Linked DNA regions of Cricetulus griseus. The protein of the gene in region 1 interacts with the protein of each later gene in a pairwise test. Links are inferred from orthologs where the notes say so. Each region holds a gene or a part of one and is shown in the gene's direction. Other genes may lie near its edges.

Region 1 (3,822 bases):
TCATGTGCAACTTTGTGAACTGTTGGTCACTGCCTCAGTTTCTCCCCAAATGCAGCTTTCTAAAAGGTAAATTTTAAACTATTTCTATTCTCAATTGTTTGTTTAGATTGAATCATGTAGCTGCTGGTCTTGTTTCACCAAGTCTGAAATCAGACACCTCTAGTAAAGAAATAGAGGAAGCCATGAAAAGAGTGCGTGAGGCCCAGTCCCTGATTTCTGCCGCTATTGAGCCAGGTAATATGCTCATACACATTTTCCTTGAATGTTGAATTGTGGTTCTTGGTAACCTGGTAATGGCTTAAATGTAGAAGTTGTTGAATAACATTCTTGGGTATTTTGTTGTTGTTGTTGTTGTTGTTGTTGTTTTAAGACTTTCTGTATTCTGAGAGACAAATCATTTAATAGTTTTCAATCATATTCTTTTGGGTGTGTGGTAGGAGTTGCCGAGAAGAAACCTGGAGGCTTGTGGATGCTAAGCAAGTTGTTGTAATTTAAAAAAGAAGAGCTGCTGGAGAGAGAAAATCAGATGACAGAGTTCAATCAATCAGGGTTTTTGTTTTGTTTTGTTTTGTTTTGTTTTGTTTTTATTAAAGGAAAAGGATTGTAAAAGGGGAAGTGGGGAGACTGGCTTCCTGGGACAGGAGCAGTGCCAGAGAGGAAGGGTGGTGGGAGCTGGGCAGGGCCTTTTTAAAAAGGAACATAGTGAATAGGTACAAGTGGTGGCCTTACTGGCAGCAGCTGAGGGCATATCCTGTCAGAAGTCCAAAGGCAGGCCAATACAGATGAATAAATACTAACACAGGTACATCACCACTAAACTAGCTCTAGATAGATTGTTCTTTTGAGATTGATTAAATGATTGCCCCAGTTATGTTTGTTATATGTATGTGAATCTGTGGTAATGAAGCACATTTTCCCAATTAAGTGTTTGATTCATTTTGTTTTTACTCTTAATCCTTAGTAAGTGGAACTATTGTTCTTATTTATTATTTAGAAAGTAATTTTTAGTTTAAAAAAAAAAAGCTGGTAACAAGTACTTTAAGTCTATCATCTGGTAAGATGTCAGGTTGTCTCAAATGTAGATCTGAGTTCTGAGTTCTCTAGAGTTTCTATACTCTAACTCCTTCTGTTAAAAACTGAGGCTGAAATGACGGTGCTTTGCATATAATGAATTCTGTGGTTATGTAAAGTAAAGCCTGTGAATGAAATGACCTAACTTAATTGGTGGCATCACATTGGTGATTGTGAGCATGTGAAAAGGGCAGTGGCATGCTGCTTAGGTCCTGAAGAAAGAAATTTGGAATGTTGGAAGTGAGACAGTTTCATTTTAAAACTACAATTAAAAATGGTAGCAGAGGAATGGAAATGCATCAGAGAAAAGCTGGCTTCCTAAAGTCACTGAGGTACAGTGGCAGGTGAAGGAGTCATGGCTTTGGATTCCAATTTTGACATAAATGCTTAGTAGTACAAGTTCCTTTTCTTTTAAATCCAGACAAGAAAGAAGAAAAGAGAAGACATTCAAGATCAAGGTCGCGCTCGAGGAGGAGGAGGACCCCCTCATCCTCCAGACACAGGTTAGCAGTCTCCTATATAAAGTGGGCCTAATCATTAATCATTGCTGGGAGTGTTAAAGTTGCCTTGGGTATATTAGGAGGAAGGTATAACATGAACAGGTGCTTCCTACTTAGCAAAACGGTTAAAGACTCTTCAATGGTAGGAAAGCTTTGGAACTTAAACACTAAAATGCCATAGTTGTATGAAACACATACAACATGAAGTTGTTAGTAGTATTGCTGTCTGTGTAGCAAAAGTTAAAGCTAAATCTGTTCTCGTCTCTCACATTAGTTATACCTACTCTTTTGTGAATATGTACTGTTTGTTCTCTGTAGCACAGTGGATATCCCTCCAAACTTAGAACTCTAGCTTTTATGCTGTAAAAAATAAAGACAATATACTTTAGCTTATGTGGTTATATCTAACAATATTACAAATTGAGGCTGTCATAGTTGCCAGCCTATCTCATTTACAGAGCTTTGCAAAAAAATGAAAACCTTAACTACCCCCAAAACACCTGATGGTGAAAGGGGGTTTGTTGTACTTCACCAATCTAAAGTTTTAGCCCAGTAGAAATAATGGGGTTTCACATTCAAATTTTTACACTATATTCTTGTTCACTTTTGTTGTTTTCTCAGAAGAGGAAGGGGCTGTTGTTTTGCATAGGGTCTCGGTACTTAGCCTTGGGTGGTCTGAAACTCGTCACGTAGACCAGGCTACCCTCAAACTCAAAGGTCCACCTGCTTCTTCCAAGTGCTGGAATTAAAGACCACATCACCATGCTTGTTTGGCTCACGTGTTTTTAAGATATTTTTGTTCTTTGGGAGTTTCATACAATTTATTTTGATCACGATCAGCCTTGTTCACACCTATTTTAAAACTGAGGCTCATGGCTTAGAAAAGGGAGTTAACATTAATATTTTCAGGCAGTTATAATCACTATTCTTTGATAAATTGCCCGAATTTGATTATTTCTGGTTGCTACCCAATTCTATGAAATAGCATTTGATATCAGCCTCAGATTTCATCACAAAACTTTTACCTAGCAGCATCAGGTTTTCACATTTTACCCGCTCTGGGAAGCCAGATTTTATTATTGGCAACGGATTTGTTTTCCTTAAGGGGGTAATATGCTTTGTTCATCTTCAAGAAAACATCCTTCACATACTCAGTTTAGAATACCTATATCTGTTGCTTCTTGGAAAATGATGTTTTTGTTGTGGAGTCTTCTAGCATCAATTTGGAGTGCATGAGCATCGGCTGTCACAGTCATTCACAAGCAGAGAGTGCATGCGCATGAACACACTCGCTAGTCATTGCTGAGGCCTAGACCTCACTTGGGCTACATGACAACCGCAGCTGAGTGAAGGCCAGTTTTTCTTCAGTGCTTGGTACTGAGCTCATACCTCCGAGGTGGGTGCTTTGTGCATTCTGCATGCACACATAATACTTTTACATTTTTAGGCGGTCACGAAGCCGATCAAGGAGGCGGTCACACTCCAAGTCCAGAAGTAGGAGGAGATCCAAAAGTCCAAGACGGAGACGATCTCATTCCAGAGAGAGGGGTAGAAGGTCAAGGAGCACGTCCAAAGCCAGGTATATGTGTACAGTACAGACAGAGGCAGCAGCCACAGTTCCTGAGACCTCAGTGCTATGCTTCTTATTACAACATAGGTGTGGTATCAGGTGGTAGCTAAATGGAAAATAAACTATGGCTTGAGGATGCTACTGTCTGTTTCCTTGTCTCCTGTCAAGCTGAATGTGTAACTTTTTATTTTTAAAAATTGATGTGTATGGGTGTTTTGCTCTCATGTATATATGTACACCATGTGCATGCCTGGTACCCACACAGGCCCAAAGAACGTATCGGATCCCCTGAACTAGAGTTAGAGAAGTGCTCTGTGAATGAGCAGCAAGTGTTCTAAATTGCTAAGGCATTTCTATAGCCCCTATAACATTTCTTAGTAATAAATTCCTTTGGCTACCCTGTCACCTACCTCGTTGGCTTTCCTCTTTTCCATTCAACCACTGCTGTGGGTCTGGGTTCAAGACTCCCAGACCTCCCTTGTCGTGTGCCAAGGAGCTCCAAGCAGACACCTAGCTGTGTTCATTTATCTTTATGTCATCATCAGTGATTGGAAACATTCCCAAAGGATCATTTATAGAGTAGACATGAAGCCATATTAGAGAAAGTCTTTTGTCCCATGATCTGACCAATTGAGGATTTGTAAGAAAAGTGATATGCTCACCCCCCCACCCCGACTTAAA
Region 2 (3,622 bases), on another chromosome or scaffold:
GGAGATTACATAGTGTTTGGGGTGTTAAAAACCCACTAGCACCCAGCCAGGGCTTTCTCATCCATGCAATCAGAAGGACTGAACAAGGACAAGAAAGGGGATGGAAGGAATCTCTCACCACATGATTTGATCATCACATGATTTGATGTTGTTTAGCCTTGTGCCCACAAGGACCTCCTGGAATACTCTGAAGTAGCCCCCAGTGTGGTATGTGTCCCCTACCTGGGGGATGCTGAATTGAATTAAATACTATTCTTGATTAGATATCATTCATCTTTTCTATCTCTGCCCTTCTAAATTCTGTCACCTGGCAGTTCTTCCCAGAAAGAGGGGAGGTGAAAAAAGGAATTGAGGATACTGACTCTATCCTAGTCAAAGGTGGTAGAGGAAGCATCAGGTTAAGATACCTCCAGAGCAAGGGCAGCTGGGTAATGACAGATGTTCTCCCTCCTGCAGAGGATTTCAGTCTCCATGTCTACAGTGTGCTGAGGTGAAGAAGTCTAGTTTGGTCCCATCCACAGCCCGGAGCTCCCCCATCAAAGAGTGCTCCCGTAGCTCCTCCTACACCAGCACTCGATCCTCCAGTCCCTCTTCCCGGTCCCCAAACCACAGAGCTTCCCCCAGGTATACCCGGAGCCGGTCCACCTCCTCTGAAAAAAGGTGAGTATGTCTTTGCAACGTTTGACCTGCTGTATGTCAAGTCAGGCTTGACATTGAATATCTGCTCCAGCCATTGCTACTGACAATCTTGGGAAAGACAGTCAACATCTCTGAGCTCCTGTTTTCTTCTGTGAAAAATAAAAATAATAGGAATGCAGTGGCTCAGTGGCCCAGTGGCTCATTCCTAGGGTGCAAGCACTTAGAACACAAGGAGCATTGACTGTTATTGCTTGTGTTGGCATGAGGATGAGGTATCAATTAACTTCTTCTGCATAAAAAGTAACCAACATCATCATTCACATAAAATGCATTTACTTGGTCTCTGTAACTCTGTGGATTAACAATTTATGCTGGGCTCAGCTGGCTGGTTCTGTCCTCAGCCCCCTCATGTGTTTTTGACCAGATGGTGAGTAGGCTGGGGGCTGGGAATTGAAAGCCATCCAATGATTAGTTGTCTCTGCTCTGTGTTGTCTCTCATCAGCTAGCAGGCCTATCTGCTTGTACACAAGGTAATGACAAGGAAAGAAAAGGAGGGAGGGATATATATATACAAGGTACAAGGCTTCCTTACTTCTCAGCGTTAAGTAACATTCCATCCCTCCTGCTATTTTATTAGCCACAGTAAGTCATAAGACCCAGAAAATTCTCCCTTAGTGAGAGGAGTTACAGAGTTACATTTCAGGGGTTATGCAAGATAGAGAGAAGAAGTGCAACTGTTTTTGTATTTTATCTCCCAATCTCAATAGCCATTGGTATTGTTTGGTTACCTTGTATAGTAACCTGGTAAAGCTCCTTTTTTAAAACATACAGACAGGAGATCTCAGGAACTGGAATAGCCCATCTAACCCAACCCTCACGGTCTCCTTGAGCCCAGCTTCCCTCTTTAAACAAAAAATTCAAACAGCAAGTTGATTGTTCCTCTTCCTCAACCATATAATAAAAATTCAGTTGCTTCCTTGCTTGGTAATTTCAAAACCAGCACTTACTTATGTTTTTTTTTTTCTATAAGATTTCTCAGTGCTAATGCAAAGAGCAAACTGGCAGGACACTTGGTGGGGGAACAACTGCACTCAATAAGAATGAGTTATTCCTTCCCCCATAATATTCTCCAAGAGCTGGATGGATCATCAGTAGTGAAAGAGGGAGAGTAAGTGTGAACAACAGGGCTAGTAATTGAGATGCATCCCCAAGAGGTGCTCTCTCCCTCTTGTCCAATGGAGGTATGGTTCTTGATCCCCAGTGGATGCCTGTAGCCAAACCCTTGGATACGTACCAAACCCTATAACAACACTGTCCATCTCCCTTTGTGACTAGAGCACGCATCATGCACTATGATGCAAGTATTTTCAATGTGAGTGAGGTGTTGTAGCAAAATTAACATGAGCTCTGCTCTCCTTCTGTTTCCTGGAGATCTCTGTTCTTGCCACATATCTTAGTACACTCTGCCTCTGGGTTTTTTTTTTTTTTTTTTTTCCTTTCTTTCTTATTGAATGGAGAATGCATACACTCACTTAGTGTAAGCATGTCACTGCTTCTTTCTGACATGTATGAGTTAGTAGAATCACTACTCTCTTGTGGACCATTTTTAAGTAAATAAGGATTGCTTACACATATTTACTATGATCCTGTGATCACAAGAAGGCTACTTAGTAACAGGCAAGTAGCCTATGCAGCATGGAAACTCTGCACAAAGAAACAATCCACTTCCTAGGTAGGGTAAAACAGGACAACAGCACTTTTCCCATGCTACTCTGGATGGTTTGAAATGTTAAACTTATGAATTACTTGTTTATAGAATTTTCCACGTCTTAATGTTTTTAATCCATTCACGAAGCCATATAAAGACAAAATCATGGGTGGGGGGATGGGACTGTCATAATCTGAAGAAGTCAAAAGTTCTTTGCAGCCAGACACTCTTGGATTCATGTGTCCACTAGCTGTGTGACACTGATAAAATTCCATTGTCTGTCTGTGTCTTTGAAATTAGTAACAGTTCCAACCCTAGGATATGTTGAAGATTAAGTAAGACACATGCACTTTCAAAAAAGTTCAATGCCTGGCACATAATAAAACGTATAATAGTCATAGCTAATGTCTCCAGTGTAGCGGCTAATTGGCACTTAGTATATATACCAGTATTATCAGTGGTTTGCTCTAATTTGGATTCACAGCCAACTTTGTAAGGTTGGTACTACTACCCCATTTTGCAGATCAGAAAACAGAAGCCAAGAGTAATGGAATCATGTGTCCAAGACATCACAAAGAAAAAGTGGCCAGGACAATAAGCATTCAGTAAATAACAGGGGGTTGTTCGTATTATTATTAATTAATATTAATCAAAAAGGAGAGGATTTCATTCTCTGGTTCCCGGCCAGGGTCCTTTACGAAAAGGAAAGGAGCGCCACCTGGGGGCCAGGTGCATAGAGGCTTAGCCGTCTGCACAACCCTAACGCAGGTCTTCAGGGCCTCTTCCCTCTTCCCCAGGTCCTACTCTCGCTCTCCCAGCTATTCTTCCAAATCTGGCAAAAGGAGCCCGCCCAGCAGAAGTTCTAGGTCTCGTCGCAGTCCCAGCTATTCTCGCTACAGCCCCAGCAGGTATCGTATCTTCCCACCCGCCACCCCACCCCCAGGATGGATCCTGCCTCCTGGGCCACACTGCTTTACTCAGACCCTAAATTCTGGCCTTGCCTCTTTGTACCAGTCTCCCAAACCCTGCCCAATTCCTGGCGTTGGAGAGGTGGGGACGGGAATTCTTGCAGTCCTTTTTGTCCAATCGAGAGTGACAACAAGGCCCAATACACGCTTTGACCTACTGCCCTTTCACACCCACAGGCTCCATCTCCCTGCACACTGTTTCCTCTCGCCCCTGCACTCACAGCCCCAATTCTTGCCCACCCCAGAGCCTCTGATATGGTCCTCCTCACCCACCAACCTTTGTGCCTACACACACACACACACACAC

The links.
Region 2: the proteins of Srsf11 (region 1) and Srrm4 interact in binary tests that used the Homo sapiens proteins (3 or more experiments, as listed by UniProt). The link is inferred for Cricetulus griseus from reciprocal best matches to the Homo sapiens genes SRSF11 and SRRM4.

The regions. Positions count from the first base shown.
Region 1 is NW_023276806.1:1,639,396-1,643,217, forward strand, and holds part of Srsf11 (serine/arginine-rich splicing factor 11), read left to right. Parts: intron 1-106; coding exon 107-234; intron 235-1,492; coding exon 1,493-1,574; intron 1,575-3,018; coding exon 3,019-3,150; intron 3,151-3,822. UniProt on the Homo sapiens protein: May function in pre-mRNA splicing.
Region 2 is NC_048597.1:96,498,784-96,502,405, reverse strand, and holds part of Srrm4 (serine/arginine repetitive matrix protein 4), read left to right. Parts: intron 1-456; coding exon 457-660; intron 661-3,144; coding exon 3,145-3,255; intron 3,256-3,622. UniProt on the Homo sapiens protein: Splicing factor specifically required for neural cell differentiation.